Oryctolagus cuniculus: one gene and its partners. The protein of the gene in region 5 purifies or fractionates together with the protein of the main gene of each other region. This does not show direct contact. Links are inferred from orthologs where the notes say so. Each region holds a gene or a part of one and is shown on either strand. Other genes may lie near its edges. The genes, in order: SKIL, SKI, SMAD7, SMAD2 and RNF111.

Region 1 (3,850 bases), on a different chromosome or scaffold from region 5:
CACAGTGGGTTAACACCCTGGCCTGAAGCGCCGGCATCCCATATGGGCGCCAGTTCTAGTCCCAGCTGCTCCTCTTCCAATCCAGCTCTCTGCTATGGCCTGGGAGAGCAGTAGAAGATAGCCCAAGTCCTTGGGCCCCTGCACTGGCATGGGAGACCAGGAAGAAGCTCCTGGCTCCTGATCGGCGCAGCTCCGGCCATTGCGGCCATCTGGAGAGTGAAAAGGCCCATTCCATAATTTGAGAATATAGTTTATCTCTGAACACACACTTCAGCACTGGACAAGGCCACTAAAAGCCAGTTCCACACTCTGAAGCTTGATTCAGTCATTCCTGCTTTAAAATCAGTTAATAGCTGCACCTGTAGAACATAAACTTATCTAGCTGCCACTGGCAAGGAATTCTGAAGTATACACCTTTTGGAAGTAGTAAGCTATAAACAACCCTAATGAGAGTCTCAAATTAGCTTCACTGAACTTCAGGAGTAAACCACTTTATCATTCACTAATTTTTCCTTAAAACCTTAAAGACACCATAATAACGAGTATGACACCAAATCTTAGTTTCTAGTCAAAACTCTTAAATTTGTTGTAAATAACCTTCATTCATTCAATATGCTTCATTCAGTCTCTAAAAATAGAAGCAGCAGAGGTATTTCAAGGAATCAAAATTAAATAATGGAAAAATCAGAATTTGTCAAACAAAACATAGCCAGTCTTTTGTTGTAATTATACATGTAAAACTGTAAGAGCAATGTTTGCTATATTTTAAACACTTAGCATTAATTATATATCCATTTTAGCAAACTAGGAAAATACATAAAGTAATCAGACCAACAAGTTGAATATTTAGTAACCCAAATCTTGTGGATTGCCCAAGCACTAAAAATCTTAAATCAGAATAAAAATATCAGTTTTATCTGCCATATAACACAACGGGGAAAAAAAAAACAAGTTAATGATATCTTTGTTGACAGTTTTTTACGTCATTAGTCAAAAACAAAATTTTATCTGTGTCATAATAAAGTATTTCTTTGTTTTAAAATAGTCAGGGGCTGCCTCTGTGGCATGGCAGGTAAAAGCTACCGCCTACAGTGCTGGCATTCCATATGGGCACTGGGTCAACTCCTGGCTCCACTTCCCATCCAGCTCCCTGCCAGTGCGCCTGGCAAAGCAGCAAAGGATGGCCCAAGTACTGAGGCCTCTGTACCCATGTGGGAGACTAGAGGAAGCACCTTGCTCTTGGCTTCGGCCTGGCCCAGCCCTCACCGTTGCAGCCATTTGAGGATTGAACCAGCAGATGGAAGATCTCACTCATCCTCTCCCTCTCTGCCTCTCTGTAACTCTGCCTTTCAAATAAATAAATAAATCTTTTATAAGTCTTGGTTACTAGAGTCATAAAGTCACAAAATCATGGGTGTACCTTTGAAAACTGTTATCTGGGCCAGTGCCGCAGCTCAGTAGGCTAATCCTCTGCCTTGCGGCGCCAAAAGAACAGGTTCTAGTCCCAGTCGGGGCGCCGGATTCTGTCCCAGTTGCCCCTCTTCCAGGCCAGCTCTCTGCTGTGGCCAGGGAGTGCAGTGGAGGATGGCCCAAGTGCTTGGGCCCTGCACCCCATGGGAGACCAGGATAAGTACCTGGCTCCTGCCTTTGGATCAGCGCGGTGCGCCGGCCGCGGCAGCCATTGGAGGGTGAACCAACGGCAAAGGAAGACCTTTCTCTCTGTCTCTCTCTCACTGTCCACTCTGTCAAAAAAAAAAAAGAAAAAGAAAAAAGAAAACTGTTATCTGAAGCCCAAAGCCTGAAGTGTTGTGGCTTGCCATTATTATCTTTTGTATATGGAGATAATAGCTAAGTGTAAATTATCTTTAGTCCTAGGAAAAAAAACAGATTTTGTCTTCAAGAAGCAGGATGTGTGAAAAAGAAAGGGTATGATTTGAGACAGTCGCCCCAACTCTTCCACTCCCTGGATACATAATTTTGGAAGGGTCATTTCATTTTCTTAACTTCATTTTCTTATCTATAAAATAGGAGTAATCCTACTTCATTCACAAGGTTATCTGGAAGGTCAAATGAGAAAACATACAGAAAAAATATTTTATAGCCTAAAAATTACAATAGAAACATAGCACACTGATCAATGTTTTGTTGTTATCAGTACTAAATCTCTTGACAGGTGAAGTTACACACTAAAGAGATTTCTGACTTCAAAGTAAACCATTTCCATTATTCAAAATTGTTTATTATAAAACAAACTTGCCTTAGACTGAGTTCTCTTTCCATTTCTCATGGTAAATTTCTCCTTCATTTCTTCTAAAATTACCTTCAGTTTCTTTTCTTCAGGTGTTCCTAAGTACTTTTGGTTAACATGAAGATAACAATGCCATTTGGCTGATTCAAAACCCCAGTGGCAAGTTCTTTTGTCAGGTGACCTGTGAGAATGCATCACAAATGTCTGAGGTGCGAACATTCCACAGCACTCTAGACACTGAATACATGGAGCATCAGGCTGAACATAGAACTGGGGTGCAAACAGACCCTGACATTTGCCCAGGCATTCATGTTCCACTTCAAAGGCACTGCCAGTTTCCTTTAACTGGGCCAATGAATTTTTAGCAGGAAGTACGCTACCGTTCTGAGGAAAAGTTCGTGGCCGCAACAGAGCGTTACAGAGTCTTTGTGCATCAGTCAATGTGATCAGCCCACAAGACGGGGCATTGAATGGAAGTATTCCCAGGACCTTTAAGATATGAAGCTGGTCTGAAGTACACCTTGAACAATATATGTACAATTCATCACACACTGTATTTATTTGCTGAAGTGAAAATTCTCGAAGAACAGAATTTAAGACTTGCGGCAAACAGAGTCTCTTTTCTCCTCCAACTTGAAAACAAGAAATAGACTCCCCTTCCAACATAGTCTGGGTAAGTTCTGTGGAGCTATCAGAAGGGATGAGCAGTGGACCAGGAAGAACCTGAGGCGATGGAAGAGGCAGAAATACAGTAGGGGACATGCTCTCTTGGGAATAGCGAGCAGAAAATGCTGCTGGCCCACCCAGAGAGCTCTGACTACTTAAATGGAACTGTGCCAGCGTGTGCTTCAAACTGGGATTTAGATTTAAAGATTCAGGCACAGAAGTACAGGTTCGCTTGACATGCTCTCCGTCAGTCTCCATCGGCGCTTCTCCAAAATCATCCACATGCTCCTTCTTCACCGTTGGCACCTTATTTATCATCTTTCCATTTGCATGAATGTCTGTCATCATTTTTTTCACGGGGGGGCTGCCATCATCTGCCATCCCATTCAGTTTTTTATTTGAGCCTTGAACCAAGAAGTTTGTCTGTAGGTTTTCCATTGAGACAAAATGTGTTAAATAATTAAGTCTGAGATTTGCATTTTCAATTAATTTCTTATCTGGAGAAAAGTACTGTCCACAAATACTTACGGTAACTTAACTAATAGAAAACCTTCCAAAGCAATCGCCTCATTCAATAGGTTCCGTACCTTTTAGCTTGTGTCTGCTTAAACCCTAGTATAATTCTACTGCAAATGCTGAAAAACTTGTTTTAGCTCTAGTAATTGATTTTAAGAGTCACACCTCTGAAGAAACCTTTCTTTTCTTGAATTCTTCAGGCACATTTAGCAAAACAAAGTTACCAATTTCTCAAGTCAAGATATCCAGATTCAATGCAATTGTCTGGTTTGGTTCTTTTAAAGTAAAACACATGGAAGGCTCATTCCATCACTTGTGCAATAAAATCTAGACTCAAGCACAAGTCAAAACGATGTAACCAGATTCATTTCTGCCGCTGACACCATAAAGGTGTTGGGGTAAGTATTAGTTCCTCTAAAA
Region 2 (4,470 bases), on a different chromosome or scaffold from region 5:
ATGCACACACGACACACCAAGACACACGCGTGCACACCAAGACACACATGTACCCACACACGCAGACACAAACACAAGACCCATGCGCACACATACACATACATGCATGCAGACACGGAGACACGCATGCACAGACACACGAGACAGACACGCGCGCACACGTACACACATGCACACACACGCACACAGACACGCCCTGCTCAGCCCAGACCCTCCTCCCCGCTCCGCAGCCCCGTGACGTGCGCGCTCCCCGCGCCCCGCACACGTGGCTTCCTCGGGCCACACGAGCTAGTGGGGGTGGGCACCCCAAACACAACGGCCGCCGGCAGGCGAGGGGCGCCCGTCACAGCCGCCACAGCCCCCCCTCTGCACACCGCGGGGCCTGGCCTCCCCGGGCGCCGGCCCCCGCCCCCGCCCCTCCTCCCGGCGGCTGACACTGGCTGGAGGGGCGCCCAGAGAGGACCGGCCGCAGCATCTATTCACGGGCTCAGAAAAGAAGTCTGATGCGGCGGCTGCGTTAATTAGGCCTCCCAAGAATGGCTGAGCCCACGCAGCAGTCCGCGTGTGCGCCTTAATAAGCCGGCGTCCAGAAGAAAAGTTGCCCAGGCGGGCGTGGGGGAGGGGTGGGGAGGGTACAGCCCAAAGTCCCCGAGGACCCAGTGAGCAGTTCCCGCGCGCGGCCGGGGCGCCAGGCCAGAGCCCCCACGCCGGCCTGCGCCTGGCAGGGAGGGAAAGCAGGAAACCAAGCCCTGGCCCTGGCCCTCCACGGGGCTCTGGGACTCACTCCCCGGCAGGCCCAGGAGACGCCAAGTCTCGGCCGCGGGCCACCGCAGCCTGGACACCTGGCTCCGTTCTCGCGTTTGTGTCCCAAGACTTCAAAGCACAAAACAAGGAGCTGGAACCAGCACCAGGCCGCCGGCTGGGGACCAAGGGCGGGCAGCCCTGGGCCTGGAGCCTGAGCAGGCCCCACGGAGGACCCGGGTCTGGGGCTCCTGGCCTGGCTCTGCCAGATCCGACCTCCCCCAGCTGGGGCAGGCCTCCTTCCCCGCGCCGCGCCCGCCTCTGCATGCAACAGCTGCGTGCCTCGGCCGGCTCTCCCAGCCCCCCAGGCCCGGCCCCCGGCTGGCCGCCGCCAGGGCTCACCCCGGGGGAGGGGGGCCGGGAAGGAGGGCCTCCCTCCCCGGCCGTGCGCTCGCTCGGCCCTCAGCCGCCCTGCACAACGCCCCCCACCCCGGCCGCGGCGGGCGCGGGGACACTCACCCGGGGCACCCGCCGCTTGTACTTGTTGCCGTAGTCGAACTTCTCCTTCACGTCGTCCAGGCAGCGGCCGAGCCGCGCCTGCTCCTCCTTGCCCGTGTAGTCCTGGCTCAGCAGGATGTAGGCCCGCCAGTTGGCCGAGTCGAAGCCCCAGTGGCAGGTCCGGTTCTCCAGGGCCTTGTGCGAGTGCACCACGAACTTGTGCGGCGGGTACATGAGGCGGCAGTCCAGGCACTGGATGCAGGCGGCGCTGGGGCTGCTGTACAGCTCGGGCACCAGCAGCCCCTTGCACTTGCCGAAGCACTCGTGGTACACGCGCACGCTGCGCTCGCTCAGCTCCAGGCCCAGCGCCAGGCTGGCCGCCAGCTCCTTCCTGCAGGGCGGCGGGCAGGCGCCCCCGTAGAGCAGCGCGTTGCACAGCCGCTCGGCGTCCGTCTTGGTGATGAGCCCGCACGAGGGCGCGGAGAACGGCAGGACGCCCATGACTTTGAGGATCTCCAGCTGGTCGGCCGTGCAGCGCGAGCAGTAGATGTGCAGCTCGTCGCACACCGAGTTGATCTGCTGCAGCGAGAAGTCGCGCAGCACCGAGTTGAGGATCTGCGGCAGGCACAGGCGCTTCTCGCCGCCCACCACGAAGCACGAGATGGTCTCGCCCTCCAGCACGGTCTCGCAGCGCTCGGTGGAGCGGTCGGACGGCATGAAGAAGGGCCCGGGCAGCACGGGCGGCGGCGGCTGGATGGCGGGCAGGTGCAGCACGGGCGGCGGCTCGGCGGCCGCGGGCACCGGCGCCGGCACCGCGGCCGCGCCCGCCTCCTTGGCGCTCTCCTTCTTGTAGGCCTCCTGCGCCCAGCGCGCCGAGAAGGCGGCCGGGCCGCCCAGGGAGCTCATGGAGCTCAGGTGGAACTGCTCCAGCGTCTTCTGCAGCCCCGGGTGCGGCTGGAAGCCGCCGCGGCCGCCCGCCGCCGCCTCCATGGCGCGCCCGGGCTCCCCGGGCCGCTCCCGCTCCCGCGCGCCCGGGCCCCCTCGCCCCCCGCCGCCGCCGCCGCCCCGCGCGCCCCGGCGGCGCCCGCGGCCCCGGCCCCGGCCGCCCCCCGCAGCCGGCTCCCGGCCGATCACGGCCGCGGCCTCGGCCTCGCCCGGGGGCGCGAAGGGGAAGGCGGGCGGGGCGAAGGGGTCCCGCCGCTGGAGCCCGCCGCCGCCGCCGCCCGGGCCCGGCGCCACATCCACGCGCCCCGCGCCGCGCCCGCCGCCGCCGCCCGGGCCCCCCGCGCGCCCCCCGCGCGCCCCCCGGGCTCTAGGCGCGGGGCATGCCCCGGCGCGCGCCGCCAACGCCAACGCCAACGCTCGCGGGCCCGGGGCTCGCGGGGGGCGCGCGGGCAGGTGCCGGCGCCGCGAGGCGCGAATCGCCGCGGCGGCCGAGGCCGAGGGCCCCGGGAGGAGCGGGGGCGCGGGCGCGGGGCCCGCCGGGCCGTCCTCGCGCGGCGCGCCGCCGCCGCCCCGCTCCTCCCACCGCGCGGCGCCCGCCCGGCTCGTCCCGGCGGCGCTGGCCGGCCGCGTCTCGCCCGCCGCCGGCCCCCGGCCCGCCCGCCCGCCCGCCGCCCCCGCCCGCGGCTTCCGGGCGGCGGAGGCGCCTCTGCCCGCGGCCCTCAGAGCGCGGCGGCCGAGGCGGCGGCGGCGGCCGAGGCGGCGCGGGGCTCGGGGCGCTCGGCGCACATCCTCCCGGCGGCTCGCTCCGGCTCGGACTGAGCGCCCGGCGCTGAGCTCACGCCGCCGCCGCGCCGCCCCGCCCCGCGCCGCCCCGCCCCGCGCCGCCGGCCCGCCCCCCGCGCTGTTTGTTGCCGTGCGTCCGCCTCAGCCCGAGCGCCGGCCAAGAATGTGACCCGCGCCGCAGCCGCGCTCTTCCAGGAACGCGCTCTCCCCCGCCCGGGCTGGGCTGGGCTCGGCTCCGCTCGGCCCCGCTCGGCCGCGCTCGGCCGCGCTCGGCCGCGCTCGGCCGCCGCTCGGGACCACCCGCAGAGGAGTCGGCTCCGCTCGTGTCGGCCCGTCGGGAGCTCGGCTCCGCTCGGCCGCCGCTCGGCTCCCCTCGGCCCCGCCCACCCGAAGGCCGCTGGCGGAGGCGGAGGCGGTGGCGCCCGGGGCCCCCCTTCCGGCCGAGGCCGCTTCCTGCGCGGCTGGGAAGACGCCCGTCCCGCCGCTGCCGCCGCCCCCGGGCCTCAACAAAACCCACAGGGCCCCGCAACAACCGCAGCCTCGCCGAGGAGCCGATCTGGGCGGGTGCACGCCGCCTCCCATGCCCAACGGGACCGCCCCGCACACGCCCCGGGTCCCTCAGGACGGGGTCGCCCCGCACACGTCCCGGGTCCCTCAGGACGGGACCGCCCCGCACACGCCCCGGGTCCCTCAGGACGGGGTCGCCCCGCACACGTCCCGGGTCCCTCAGGACGGGGTCGCCCCGCACACGTCCCGGGTCCCTCAGGACGGGGTCGCCCCGCACACGTCCCGGGTCCCTCAGGACGGAGCCAGCCCGCACCCCCGGGTCCCTCACCACGGGGCCAGCCCGCACACGCCCGGGTCCCTCACCACGGGGCCAGCCCGCACACCCCCGGGTCCCTCACCACGGGGCAGCCCGCACACCCCCGGGTCCCTCGCCACGGGGCCAGCCCGCACACCCCCGGGTCCCTCACCACGGGGCAGCCCGCACACCCCCGGGTCCCTCACCACGGGGCAGCCCGCACACCCCCGGGTCCCTCACCACGGGGCCAGCCCGCACACCCCCGGGTCCCTCACCACGGGGCCAGCCCGCACACGTCCCGGGTCCCTCAGGACGGGGTCGCCCCGCACACGTCCCGGGTCCCTCACCACGGGGCCAGCCCGCACACGCCCGGGTCCCTCACCACGGGGCCAGCCCGCACACGCCCGGGTCCCTCACCACGGGGCCAGCCCGCACACGCCCGGGTCCCTCACCACGGGGCCAGCCCGCACACGCCCGGGTCCCTCACCACGGGGCCAGCCCGCACACGCCCGGGTCCCTCACCACGGGGCCAGCCCGCACACGCCCGGGTCCCTCACCACGGGGCCAGCCCGCACACCCCCGGTGCCACATGAGCCTGGGTGGCTGCACCCCATGCGGGGATGGGTAGTGGCAGCGTGAGCAGGGGTCCTGGCACCCTCAGGACCTGCTTGGTAGGGGGTGATGGCCAAGCAGCGCCACAC
Region 3 (4,594 bases), on a different chromosome or scaffold from region 5:
GCGCGCCGCGGAGAGCCCCCGGAGGCGGCAGCAGGACCCGAGCGCCGAGAGAGGGCGGACGGGGGACAAGGAGGCAGCCGGCTGCGACGAGAGGAGTCTCAGAGGAGGCGGCGAGAGGACACCGGGGCCTCCCGCCGCCGAAGCCGGCTCGGGGCGAGCAGCCCATGCGGGGAGCCCCGGCGGCCAGCCACGGCCAGGGGAGGGGGCGCCAGCGGCCCCCGCGCTAGCCGGCAGCTTGTGCCCGGGGGGGCAGGAGCGTGCGACCCACCGGGGGCCCGCGGTGGCCGCCGTGCCGCGTTCCCCCGCGCTGTCAGCCCCGCTGGGCGCAGTCGCCGCCGCCGCCGCAGCCGCAGCGGCAGCATCTTCTGCCCCTGCGCCCCCGCCAGCCCCGAGGAAGTCCCCGCCGAGAACCTGGGCCCCCGGGACCGCAGGAGGAAAGACCAGAGACTCCCCTGGGACACCCGGATGCGCAGGATTGAAGCAGCCTAGCCCGACCTTTCTGTGGATTAAAAAAAAAAAAATTACACGATCTTTCGGGGGGAGGCAGAAGAAACGGAGAGGAAGACCAACGAGGCTCTGCGAGGAACGGAGCGGGCATGTAGCTCGTGGATGCGCCTCTGCACCCCGCAAGCGTCTTGTTCCACTTTGTAAACATTTTCTCCTCCCAAGCCCCGGCTGCGGGCGGACGAGCTGGTGGTTTTCATCTGGGGCTTTTGCATATTTGCTTCTGAGGTTCGGCGAGAACCTCCACGTTTCGCCAGACGGCTCATGCGGGGTGAAGTCCGCTCGGCCCCCTCCCCCGAGCCTTCGTGCGCACGGAATTCGAGGAGATCCGGTTACTAAGGATATAGAGGAAAAAAATAAATCGCGTGCCTGCTTTTTTTTTTTTTTTTTTTTATAATTGCCTGCTTCTCCCCACCCCCAAATTAAGTTGCTTAGCAAGGGGGAACGAGGCTCTTTGCTCGCTCGGGCAGCCTCGCCGGGCGCCTTTCGGTTTCTGCCCCCGCGGATCTTCCATGTAGGAAGCCGAGGCTGGCGAGCCCGACACTCGGGAGCCGCCGCGGGGGGGCCGCTCGCTGGGGAGGCGCCGACGGGGGCAGGCTCGGCCGCCCCCAGGGAAGCGGCGGCCGCGTTCCTCCGGGGCGCGCCGGGGCCCGAGAGCCGCGCAGGGCGCGGGCCGCGCGGGGTGGGGCAGCCGGAGCGCAGGCCCCCGAGCCCCGGCGGGCGCCCCCGGGCCCCCGCGCGCGCCCCGGCCTCCGGGAGACTGGCGCATGCCACGGAGCGCCCCTCGGGCCGCCGCCGCTCCTGCCTGGGCCCCTGCTGCTGCTGCTGCTGTCGCCTGCGCCTGCTGCCTCAACTCGGCGCCCGAGTTCTTCATGGTGTGCGGAGGTCATGTTCGCTCCTTAGCCGGCAAACGACTTTTCTCCTCGCCTCCTCGCCCCGCATGTTCAGGACCAAACGATCTGCGCTCGTCCGGCGTCTCTGGAGGAGCCGTGCGCCCGGCGGCGAGGACGGGGAGGAGGGTGCGGGCGGAGGCGAGCTGCGGGGAGAAGGGGCGACGGACGGCCGGGCGCATGGGGCCGGTGGCGGCGGCGCGGGCAGGGCTGGCTGCTGCCTGGGCAAGGCGGTCCGAGGTGCCAAAGGTCACCACCACCCCCACCCGCCGGCCGCGGGCGTCGGCGCGGCCGGGGGCGCCGAGGCGGATCTGAAGGCGCTCACGCACTCGGTGCTCAAGAAACTGAAGGAGCGGCAGCTGGAGCTGCTGCTCCAGGCCGTGGAGTCCCGGGGCGGGACGCGCACCGCGTGCCTCCTGCTGCCCGGCCGCCTGGACTGCAGGCCGGGCCCGGGGGCGCCCGCCAGCGCGCAGCCCGCGCAGCCGCCCTCGTCCTACTCGCTGCCCCTTCTGCTGTGCAAAGTGTTCAGGTGGCCGGATCTCAGGCATTCCTCGGAAGTCAAGAGGCTGTGTTGCTGTGAATCTTACGGGAAGATCAACCCCGAACTGGTGTGCTGCAACCCCCATCACCTTAGCCGACTCTGCGAACTAGGTGAGGAGTTGCTCCCGCCCCGCGACCGGCGCGCGGCGCCGCGAGTCACCTCCCGGGCGGAGAGAGACACGGGGGGCCGGGGCGGGCTCCGAGGGCTTTCCCTGGGGGTTCCCTCCCAGGTCTGTCCGGCGCCCCCAGGGGCCCTGTGGCCGCAGCTCCACCACACACTGTACTGATGGGCGGTTAAAAAGACGTCCTCACTTCCGCATCGGCACCCGGGTGCGGAGACAAGTGGGGCTCACGCCTCCCCCGCACCCGGAAAGGCGCTGAGGTGTGTGGCCGAGTTGGATCCGGGCCAAGCCCGCCAAGGAAGGCTGGGAGAAGCGAGAGGGAGGGCCGAGCTGCTTTTGGCGGCCGCGGAGACACTGGGCACGGGCGGCCCAGATGTTGCCCTGGCTCGGGTTAGCAGGGGAGGCCCGGCTGGGATGGCGCCCTGGGCTGCGCCGTTCTAGAGGCCTGAAGTCGAGTGTCCCCCGCCTTCTCCTTTCTCTGGCACCAAACGGGCGCAGAACTGGGTCTGGAATGCTCTATCCCAGCGCATTGGTGACGTTGCTGCCCGTCCCGGAGCTGGGGCCTGGGCTCCCCCGACAGAGCTCCCGAGCCCCTTCCCTTTGGCCTTCCCACTTGCCTGCGTTCTCCCCCCACCCCACCTTTTCTTTCAAAGGTTAAGGTGCCTGGGACGAGGTGCCCCCCAAGCTCACCAGCACGCTTGGGGCGCGTCTTCCCCCTGGGCTGGGAATGGGGAGTCCCGTGCCTCCCTCGCAGGGGCTGGGGCGGGAGGTGGGATGGGGGTCTAGGGTTCGGGGCCGGGCTGTCCCCCCTCCACCCGGGGAGCCGCGAGGCGCGCGGCCCCGGCCGAGCCGCGGCCGAGCTGGTGGTTTCCAGCCCGGCTGGGCGAGCGCGGCGGCGGCGGCCGCCGCAGACGTGGAGGAGCGGAGCGCCGAGGCTGGCGCCAGGCGGCCTCTTTTGTTTATCTGACAGCTAAATATCAAGGCAATCACCGCCCCGCAGCCCTGCCTCCAACCCCCACAGCTAAGACAAACAGTGGGGCCGAAAGAATGCCTCTGTTATCATAAGTTTCTATCTCTCTTTCTCATGGCCCGGCCTTTATTTCCTCTTTTTAATTCCAGAGTCTCCCCCTCCTCCTTACTCCAGATACCCGATGGATTTTCTCAAACCAACTGGTGAGTAGATGGCTTGGAAAAAATGCTTTTCCTATTCTGCTAGAAGCGGGGTGTTTTGTGTCCAGACAGCAGCCTTGGGGAGGTGCTGGCCTCGCCCCAAGTGGCACCTGGGTTTCCTGTGCTGGAAGTTTGGTGACTTTGTGTTAGTGTGGCTGGTTTTTTGCCTTTTTTTTTTTTCTTTCTTTCTTTGCAAAGACCTCTTCTAGATAAGCTTTACCTTGGGTTCCATTTTCACGTATATTTGCCCTCTGCCTCTGAAGCTGGTTGGATTTTAATACCCGGATGCTTTAAGCCACAAAGAAGTGGCTTGGGGACTAAGCAGAGCAGGGTGATGGGAACCTTCAGAGACTGTGGCGAGTGCCCAAGGAATCAGGGCTGGTTTGAGGGAATGGAGGTGCCGAGTTTGGCCTGTCTAGGATAGGATGGTGGTGCATTTAAGAAGTTCCAGAAGCCAGAGGGGAGTAGGTGCCCCCTGCCCCAGTCACATACAAGTCAGCCCTGTCCTTTTTTTTCCTGGGAATCCTTGGTCTGGTCATGAAAGTGTTTAGGGTACCTCTGCCTGCCTGTTGGTTTGTCTCGGGAGGGCCCCCGGCCAGGGCAGAAACCCATTTGAGATTGGCATCAGCCCTGCTGTGGTTGTCCGCGTTTGATTTCTGGCTGGCGACACAGGGGTCCCAACCTTTGGTGCTGCGGTGCCAGGCGACAGGGTTAGCAGAACTGACCTGGGGGGTGACCCCGGAGACAGGCTGGCAGCCTGCAGCCCCTTCTTCCAGGCAGAGTCACCTGCTGGAGAGTACAGACTGTAACTGGTGTCTGTGCCTGTGCACCGGCGCACACTGGTGCCATGGTTGGTTTTGCCAAGGGTCTGGCGCGGGAGGAGCGAAGGGCTGGGCGCCGTTTAGGTCCTGGAATTCTCCAGGTCCTTCTGCCTCATGCATTTTGGCTGTTGGGCCGTTCCCCCCACTAATTAAAAGTTTTGCCGGGGCGTTGTCATACATTAAATACTTTAATGAACGTGTAACCGAAGCCCCGTGCGCGGAGCCAGCCCTCCTGGGACTGCACCAGCTCCCCCAAGCTGGGAAGGCGTTGCTGCTTGCCTGGTGCCTGTCTAATAAGGGGCCTGTGGAGCATGTGATATTTTGCTTTCGATTTACAAAACACCAGATAAATGGTCATTAATGAGATAACCAACTCCCTGTGTTTGTAACAAACCTTAACTGGAGTGACCAAGCTCCGCTTCCCCGAGGACTGTGGCTTCAAGCATCAAGAATTCCTGCAGGAGGTTAAGGTTAGGTCTTCCAGGGACGATGGCGGCCCATTTTTGGTTTTCCCTGTGCATTCCTAGCTGTAGGTTTCCATCAGAAG
Region 4 (3,848 bases), on a different chromosome or scaffold from region 5:
GGTTAAGAGTCAAGCAGAACTGTCTTCCAATCCCATCTCAACCACTTACGATATGTCCTGGGGCAAATTATCAAAATTTTCGAAACAAATTTCCAAACAATTTGTAAATCACAAAGAGTGCAACTGCACCGATTTTAATCATTTAAACAAAGGATTAACAACATAAAGCGTCATTCTTCTCAGGATATACAGTACAGTGGCTGGCATCACAACAAGTACCCTTCTACTCCTGAATAACAGTCCCCTGATCTGAACCTCAAAGAGCAACCCCCATTTTCTTTGGAGGATATGTTTTATCCAGTGGATGACCAAAACCATGGATAACACCGAACCCTATACACACTATTAAGGTTTTACCCATACATACATACTTAGTACCTATCATTTACAAATTAGGCATAGTAAAAGATGAATAATGACATAAAAATAGAACAATTATAAGAATATAATAATTTACTTAAAGCTTATTTCAGGAATTTTCCATTTAATATTTTCAGAACTTGGCTGATCACAGGAACTGAAAACTGTAGATGAAAGAGGACTATTGTATTTGGCCTTAACTTACTTGTCCAGTCTTATTTTTCTCTATATGCTTTCTGCCAAACCAAACTGCTATTGAATTGTCAGGATTATAATTTCCTATCTCACCCACCCTGTCTGTGACCACTGCATCTTACAGAACCTGGACTGAGACCGTGTGCCATCTTTCCCAGGCAGCCATCCTCAAGTTCTAACTGCCAATGCTTCTCTTTCCATGAGCTGACATAGCCTTGCAATATACTCCTTTTATGGTATTCAGCAACCTGCATTATGTTAAAATGTGTGTCCGTGTTAATCAGATTTCCTATAATGCCAGCACAGTAATTTGCAACAATTTTGATTCTACAGACCTCCACCTTTCTTTCATTATTTTACATAAGGATCGGCTGACTCTATTACCAATATGAAAACAGACACATGGGAACTCCAAAAGATGCGAACAATGGAATAAGAAAAGAATTACACAGTGGAAACTTAAAAACTGAACATGGATTTCATACCGGTATTCTGCTCCCCAGCCTTTCACAAAACTCATTCTTATGGTGCACATTCTAGTTAGCTGATAGACGGCTTCAAACCCCTGATTAACAGACTGAGCCAGAAGAGCAGCAAATTCCTGGTTGTTGAAGATCTTGAGATTACAGCCTATGATTGAGGGGAAAAAATAAAAGAAACTGTGTAAAAAATAGTATCACTATTAGAAAGTAATTTTAAAATAGCTAGAGGTTTTAGAATACAAGCATGCAAATCATTGCCTGATTCCTAACATTAGCAACTAGAAAAACGAAGCGAATTGATGTGACAGGTTTATTGACATTGTTGAATCATACCTGGTGGAATTTTACACACTGTTGCAGGGTGCCAGCCGTATCTCTGATTACAATTGGGGCTCTGCACAAAGATTGCACTATCACTTAGGCACTCAGCAAAAACTTCCCCACCTATGTAATATAAGCGCACTCCTCTTCCTAAAACAAAATACATATGGGATTAGTTTTATAACACTGTTTCAGTGTGACTTTAGAAGAGTCTTCGTGGAGACATTCTAAAATGGTGTGAGCTATTTCACAGCTATGCTTTTCTGAAGTCTAACGTCGAAATATACCACTGTATATTTTTATAGTTTTTTTTTTAACTATAATTTTACTAAGTTTTAAAAGCAACATGAGGGTACTTCAAAAACCTCATGGAAAAAAATGGAATTAAAAGATAAGTTTACTTCGGTGCAAAAACCTTTTTGAAATCCATGCATACCTTTGATAGCACACATTTGCCACGACCTTCTTGAAAACCCTGCACATATGCTTATCAAAAGCATTTAAACAAGAAAAGGACAGGGATAGTAAAATATTTTCACACAAAGTATATATTATTTTAAAATAAGAAACAGTTAATTTAAGGAATTAGCTAATGCTTTGACAAAGATATCTTCATTAAAATAGTTTTTCCTTAAAGATCCACTAAGATTAAGAAGGTAATAAAAAAGATTTCAAGAGTTTAAGCATCATTCACCTTTTTTGAAACTATGTATCATGGTGGCAACCAAAATCTCTCTTAACATAAACGGAATTAGTTAAGGGAAAACTTATCCTAGCAGACAGTTCTAACAGCTCGTTCAGCATCTGACAGATCAAAGACACACACACACACAAATCAGAAATAAGAATTTGTAAAACAGAACTGTCGGAGGCAGATCCTGAAGTGTCCCTAAGAGTCAGCCCTGGCACACGTGCGCCTTCTCTGTTACTCAATCCAGCCAGGTGCTGTTGGGAAGGGACTCTGCAGGTGGCATTAAGGAAGCAAATCACTGGAGGAGGATTATCTTTGTTGTGCAGTAAAAGAAAACAGGTAAAACAACCAATAAGCCAGATTTGGTAGATGCAGAAACTGGTAACTTATTAAGATTATGGGATATTTGTAAAACAATCAGGTGCTTGCCCATTAGTAAAAGATTAAGTTGAAAAAAAAAAGATTTTTCAGGCAGTATTCTCTGATCAAAACTACTTAATACACTAGAAATCTGAAGTACAAAAAATGATCTGATAAATACAGCAACCCAAAATTTTATAGAGAGAAGTGAATAAAGTTTCTGTTAAATTTTTATGCGGAACCCCAATTAAAATACAAATACACAGAAAACCCCCACAATTATTCTGGTAAATGTAGGAGTAGACAGATATTCAGAAGCCTTTCTGAGCTACAAGCACATCTGGGTACGTTAACGAGATTATCCACATTTATACACCAAGCAAGATTTGAGAACTTCCACGTGGAAACAGTTAACAGATCTCCTAATCACTATCATTTTGCAGGACCAAAATCACTCTGGCTATCAGCAGTATTTCCCATGGGAGATGAGAGCTAATTCTAGGAAAACAGAAGCAAAGTTTGGTTAAGTTACTTTGAAGATAAGAATGACATTCAATTATTAAAGGCTTTCAAACTTATTTGATTCACTGCTAGAAAAAATATTGAGGACTCCAAAGAGCTTCTGTTTGTATGGATCACATTTATGGAAACTTAGACGTCAGATATTAAAACAGACTTAAAAACACGCACAAGTTCAATTAAAAATAAATCAATCATATCACCATTAATGTTTACAGAAAACAACCATATTATCCAAAAGAAAAAAATAGTGAGAAGAGTGACAATGCTTCACATTTTTGCACATCTCTTAGGTCTGTCAGAACATAGCTGGATTTTCCTATCAGATCTACATTTGGTAGATCTTGCAAATCCATATGCCATGTAGCCTTTGAAATACTCCAGTGTGTACTTATGAAAGAATGAGAGTAAAAATGGTACCATCGTAATAGTTCTGACCTCAGAAACTTGCAAGTGTTTCTGGGATTACCAGATCCGAGACCACACTTTGAGACCCCCCTGAATTATATTAAATGATAGCTCTTGCTTTAAATATTCAGCCTAAGATTTTTAAAATCATTTAATATATGAGCTCACAGAAGGAAGAAAAAAATACAACAGGGGATATAAACAAACTGAGGAAGAGGACCTCATGATTTATAACAATTAACCCTACTATCTGAACACACTCATTTTATGATGGCAAAAACTTAACAAACTTATGTTATTGTAACACACATTACTGAAGAACTTTTCAGTGTCAAGGGTGCCAAATAATAATTTGAAGGCAAGAGTTTGCAGATTGAAGAATCAAAGAAAGCCTGTGTACTTAACCATGACAGCAGCTGAACTGCCAGAGGACTGGGTTCTTATACGTAAGTTCTTTGCACAAGGAACATAAAACATACCTATATGTCTTCTTGTCATTTCTACTGTGGCGT
Region 5 (3,850 bases):
TACTCAAAAACAAGAGAAGGATATGAATAGTAACCAACAAGAACAAGAAAAACGTGCTGTAAGGAAAAAACGCAAAAGCCAGCAGGCTGGTCCTTCTTACATGCAGGATTGTGTTAAGGAGAACCAGGGAGTATTAGGATTGCGGCAACACCTAGAGCCACCAAGTGATGAAGATAATGATTCCTCCTTTAGTGATTGCCTTTCTTCTCCTTCATCTAGTCTGCATTTTGGAGATTCTGATACTGTGACGTCCGATGAGGACAAAGAAGTTTCTGTAAGGCATTCCCAAACCATTTTGAATGCTAAAAGCAGAAGTCATAGTGCACGGTCCCAGAAGTGGCCTCGGACTGAGACAGAATCTGTATCAGGATTATTAATGAAAAGACCTTGTTTTCATAGCAATTCATTAAGGAGACTCCCATGCAGAAAAAGATTTGTAAAAAATAATTCCTCACAGAGGACACAGAAGCAAAAAGAGAGGATATTAATGCAGAGGAAGAAACGGGAAGTGTTAGCCCGAAGAAAATATGCCTTGCTTCCAAGTTCCAGTAGTTCCAGCGAGAATGACCTCAGCAGTGAATCCTCTTCCAGTTCATCAACTGAAGGAGAAGAAGATTTGTTTGTTTCTGCCAGTGAAAACCACCAAAACAATCCAGCTGCTCCCTCAGGTAAAAGCGTTTCTAAAGATGAGTAGAACATGGCAGCTTTTACATCGTCTTTGTATTATTTTCTCATTTCTATGTCACAGTATTTAATAAAAGGAATATTGGACTCTATTATCTTTTATTTTTATGCTTATAAGTAAATTATCAACTGTAATTTGAAGCCATGTCTCCAATTCTGAGATAAAAGTTTTTAAATTTTCCGGTGGTAAAAACAGAGTTTTTTTTTTTTTTTTTTTTTTTTTGAGGATAAAAATTTACATCATTTAATACATAATAGATTACATTTTATGAGATATTGATTTGTGATACACAACTGTTTTTTTCCTATCATTCTTCTTTCATATGTTTAACTTTCATGAATACATTTTAAGATACCTGTGTGATACTTTTTTCACTTTCAAGTATACTAAGAACAGTTCTAGTCACTAAAAAAGACTGCTTAATATTATTTTTCCTTTAAGTATTCTATTGTTTATTGTTACATTGTAGCTGAAATACAATTTCTTTACAGCTGAAAAATGAATCCCAGTGTTTGGTAACTTTTATTTTGATACTATGGCCCAGAAACTTTGTCTTGATAATGCTCATTAGGGCATATGATTCAGCAATTAAAACTGAATTAAAGGGAACAGTACTCATGTGCTCATGCCCCCCCCCCCCCCACATACATAGTGAAAGTTATGTTTATAAGTTTGTATGCAGTCCTGAAGTATAAATATATCCCATGAATACAGACCACTCTAAGTTAAAGGGGTTGTAATTTTAAAAGTTTTTTCTTAAGATTTATTTATTTATTTGAAAGAGTTACACAGAAAAAGGAAGAGACATAGATTTTCCTTCCCTGGTTCATTCCCTACATGGCTGTAACAGCCAGGGCTGGGCCAGGCTGAACTCAGGTGCCAGGAGCGTCATCCGGGTCTCCCATATGGGTGCAGGGGCCCAAGCACTTGGGCCATCTTCCACTGCTTTTCCAATCACATTAGTAGGGAGCTGGGTTGGAAGTGGAGCAACTGGGTCTCAAACCAGCACCCATATGTGATGCCTGAGTTACAGCGGAGGCTTTATGAGCTACCCCACAATGCCGGCCCCTTAAATGTTTTTGAAGTGAGTGTTGAGGAACTAAGTTTGAGCAGAGGGAAAAGATAAATTTCTTGTGAAATCAGAGAGGAAGGGAATAGGATATCGGAAGACCTTTTTAAAGGAGTGGGATCATGGTTTCCAATACTGACACAGAGCTTTCCCAGTTTTGTCTGATGTCCTGCTTGTTAAGGTCAGAGTCTGCAAGTCTACTGTTCAGACTGTTAAGATGTGCCATGTCTCCCTCTTTCATCTCTCCCTCTGTATGAGTCACTGCCTTCTCCGGATTCTCTTTCCTTTTTCCTTTTTCCTCTTCTGTCCTTACCAGACCCCTAAAAACAGTAACCTTGTTGGTAATCTTAGCTTTAGCCATATGTAGTCCATATTTAAAAGCCAACCATACTTATTTTATAAGAGTTCTTTGTGATCACCTTAGGCTTGGGGGAACAGCAGTCATTTCCTTAGATTTCTGAGAAAGAGGAATGTAATAACAGGAGTTGTCTTTCTAAATTACCAGATTTTTTTCCTCATGATCAAAAAATGTAGGTTCTAGTTTTGGGAAAATGGGTTAGGAGAGCTCAATTTCTGCTTGGAATTTTATGATGCAGGATGTTGGTAATGTGGAGCAGAAGTTCTAGGGAACTGTTACTTGTAGCAGGGGGGCGGGGTGTGTGTGTGAGAATATTATGAATAAAGATCAGAATCAGTGTCTGTTTCCAGGAAGGATGAAGCATCTTAACCACTGTGCCACATGCCTGCTGCTAAATCTGTTATGTTTTACTGTGTGTTAAAATTAGGATTGGGAGGTCTCAACTTTTAATTGGAGTTACCTACTAAATGTTTATATGATTTGTATGGATGGATATTAGTTACTCTGGAGCTACTGGGGCAACTTTGTCCACATGAAATTCATCAATACTTAGTTGCTGTTAGAGTAGTGAATTAATGAAAAAACGTTTTATATTTTAAGCATTTTGTGGTAAGATTCCTGGAGTGGACATTCAACCTAGTGGTTATTATGCCTGCGTCCCAAGTCATAGGGCCTGGGTTTGATTCCTAGCTCTAGCTACTGACTCTAACTTCCTTCCGGTGCAGACACTGGGAGGCATTGTTGATATAGCTGAAGTGACTTTGTGCCTGCCATCCGTGTGGGAGACTAGACTTGAGTTCCGAGCCTACGGCTCTGGTTCCAGTCTAGCCTGGCCCAACAGAAAGCCTGAAGCTTTCTGTTTCAAATTTTTTTTTATTTTGACCAAAAAAACCTTTAGGCACAAAAGTTATAGATAATTGATTTTAGCAAATCACCTAAGAATGAAATTTTTTATATTGTTTTGCAAATATCAGTTCATTTGTTAAAATCAACAGATTTCTGGAAAATATTTGCCTCATGCTGCACCATTATCTACTTTTACATTTTTAAGGGGGGGGGGGCAGCGTTGTGGCATGGTGGAAAAGGGTATAATTCTAGAATTTCGATTTAATAAAATATGAAAAAGTTCTGGAGATCTGTTTCGTAGCAGTCTGAATATACTTAATACTACTGAACTGTATTAAGGACGATTAAAATGATAGAAAAGAGCAGGTTATTTATTTCTTCTCTGGATAGATTTTACACAAATCTGGTGCTGAATAACTTTTTGTAAACATGCCGCTATCAGTGTTTCCATCATCTGTCAATACAGATGTCAGTCAACAGTTTACAAATCCTATCTGTGATGAGAATTATCCCATAATAAGAATATGAGAGTAAAAAAAAAAACACCCACTTTAAGTGTGTATTTCTAATTTGTGAGCACATACTTTGTGTCATGTACAGTATTCTGCACATTTAGCCTCATCAAGACACTAAATCTTAGAAAGTTTAAAAGATTTGTATAATTCTTAGTTCCAAAACTCATACTCTCTACAAAAACCATATTGTAGAACCATGTCTACTCCACATTTGCATACTAGTTACTATAAAGCATCTTCCTGCTTGCAGTTGCTTTTGCTCCTACAAAGTTATTGAAGTTAAAGCAATTTTGACTCTACTTTAACTCTACATTGGAACTCTTATTCCAATGGAAATTACTGTACCCCTCCCCTTTCATTATTTTTATAATGAATTT

Evidence for each region.
Region 1: the proteins of RNF111 (region 5) and SKIL purify together in Homo sapiens (affinity purification with western blotting; 3 studies listed by BioGRID). This does not show direct contact. The link is inferred for Oryctolagus cuniculus from reciprocal best matches to the Homo sapiens genes RNF111 and SKIL.
Region 2: the proteins of RNF111 (region 5) and SKI purify together in Homo sapiens (affinity purification with western blotting, with the first as the bait; 3 studies listed by BioGRID). This does not show direct contact. The link is inferred for Oryctolagus cuniculus from reciprocal best matches to the Homo sapiens genes RNF111 and SKI.
Region 3: the proteins of RNF111 (region 5) and SMAD7 purify together in Homo sapiens (affinity purification with western blotting; 3 studies listed by BioGRID). This does not show direct contact. The link is inferred for Oryctolagus cuniculus from reciprocal best matches to the Homo sapiens genes RNF111 and SMAD7.
Region 4: the proteins of RNF111 (region 5) and SMAD2 purify together in Homo sapiens (affinity purification with western blotting, with the first as the bait; 3 studies listed by BioGRID). This does not show direct contact. The link is inferred for Oryctolagus cuniculus from reciprocal best matches to the Homo sapiens genes RNF111 and SMAD2.

The regions. Positions count from the first base shown.
Region 1 is NC_091435.1:109,928,108-109,931,957, forward strand, and holds part of SKIL (ski-like protein), read right to left. Parts: 5' UTR 3,353-3,850; coding exon 2,258-3,352; intron 1-2,257. UniProt on the Homo sapiens protein: May have regulatory role in cell division or differentiation in response to extracellular signals.
Region 2 is NC_091438.1:163,662,361-163,666,830, forward strand, and holds the start of SKI (ski oncogene), read right to left. Parts: upstream 2,997-4,470; 5' UTR 2,230-2,996; coding exon 1,261-2,229; intron 1-1,260. UniProt on the Homo sapiens protein: May play a role in terminal differentiation of skeletal muscle cells but not in the determination of cells to the myogenic lineage. Functions as a repressor of TGF-beta signaling.
Region 3 is NC_091441.1:28,916,423-28,921,016, forward strand, and holds the start of SMAD7 (mothers against decapentaplegic homolog 7), read left to right. Parts: upstream 1-1,444; coding exon 1,445-2,045; intron 2,046-3,175; coding exon 3,176-3,229; intron 3,230-4,594. UniProt on the Homo sapiens protein: Antagonist of signaling by TGF-beta (transforming growth factor) type 1 receptor superfamily members; has been shown to inhibit TGF-beta (Transforming growth factor) and activin signaling by associating with their receptors thus preventing SMAD2 access.
Region 4 is NC_091441.1:29,860,113-29,863,960, reverse strand, and holds part of SMAD2 (mothers against decapentaplegic homolog 2), read right to left. Parts: coding exon 3,816-3,848; intron 1,509-3,815; coding exon 1,371-1,508; intron 1,186-1,370; coding exon 1,041-1,185; intron 1-1,040. UniProt on the Homo sapiens protein: Receptor-regulated SMAD (R-SMAD) that is an intracellular signal transducer and transcriptional modulator activated by TGF-beta (transforming growth factor) and activin type 1 receptor kinases.
Region 5 is NC_091443.1:81,919,417-81,923,266, forward strand, and holds part of RNF111 (E3 ubiquitin-protein ligase Arkadia), read left to right. Parts: coding exon 1-668; intron 669-3,850. UniProt on the Homo sapiens protein: E3 ubiquitin-protein ligase. Required for mesoderm patterning during embryonic development. Acts as an enhancer of the transcriptional responses of the SMAD2/SMAD3 effectors, which are activated downstream of BMP.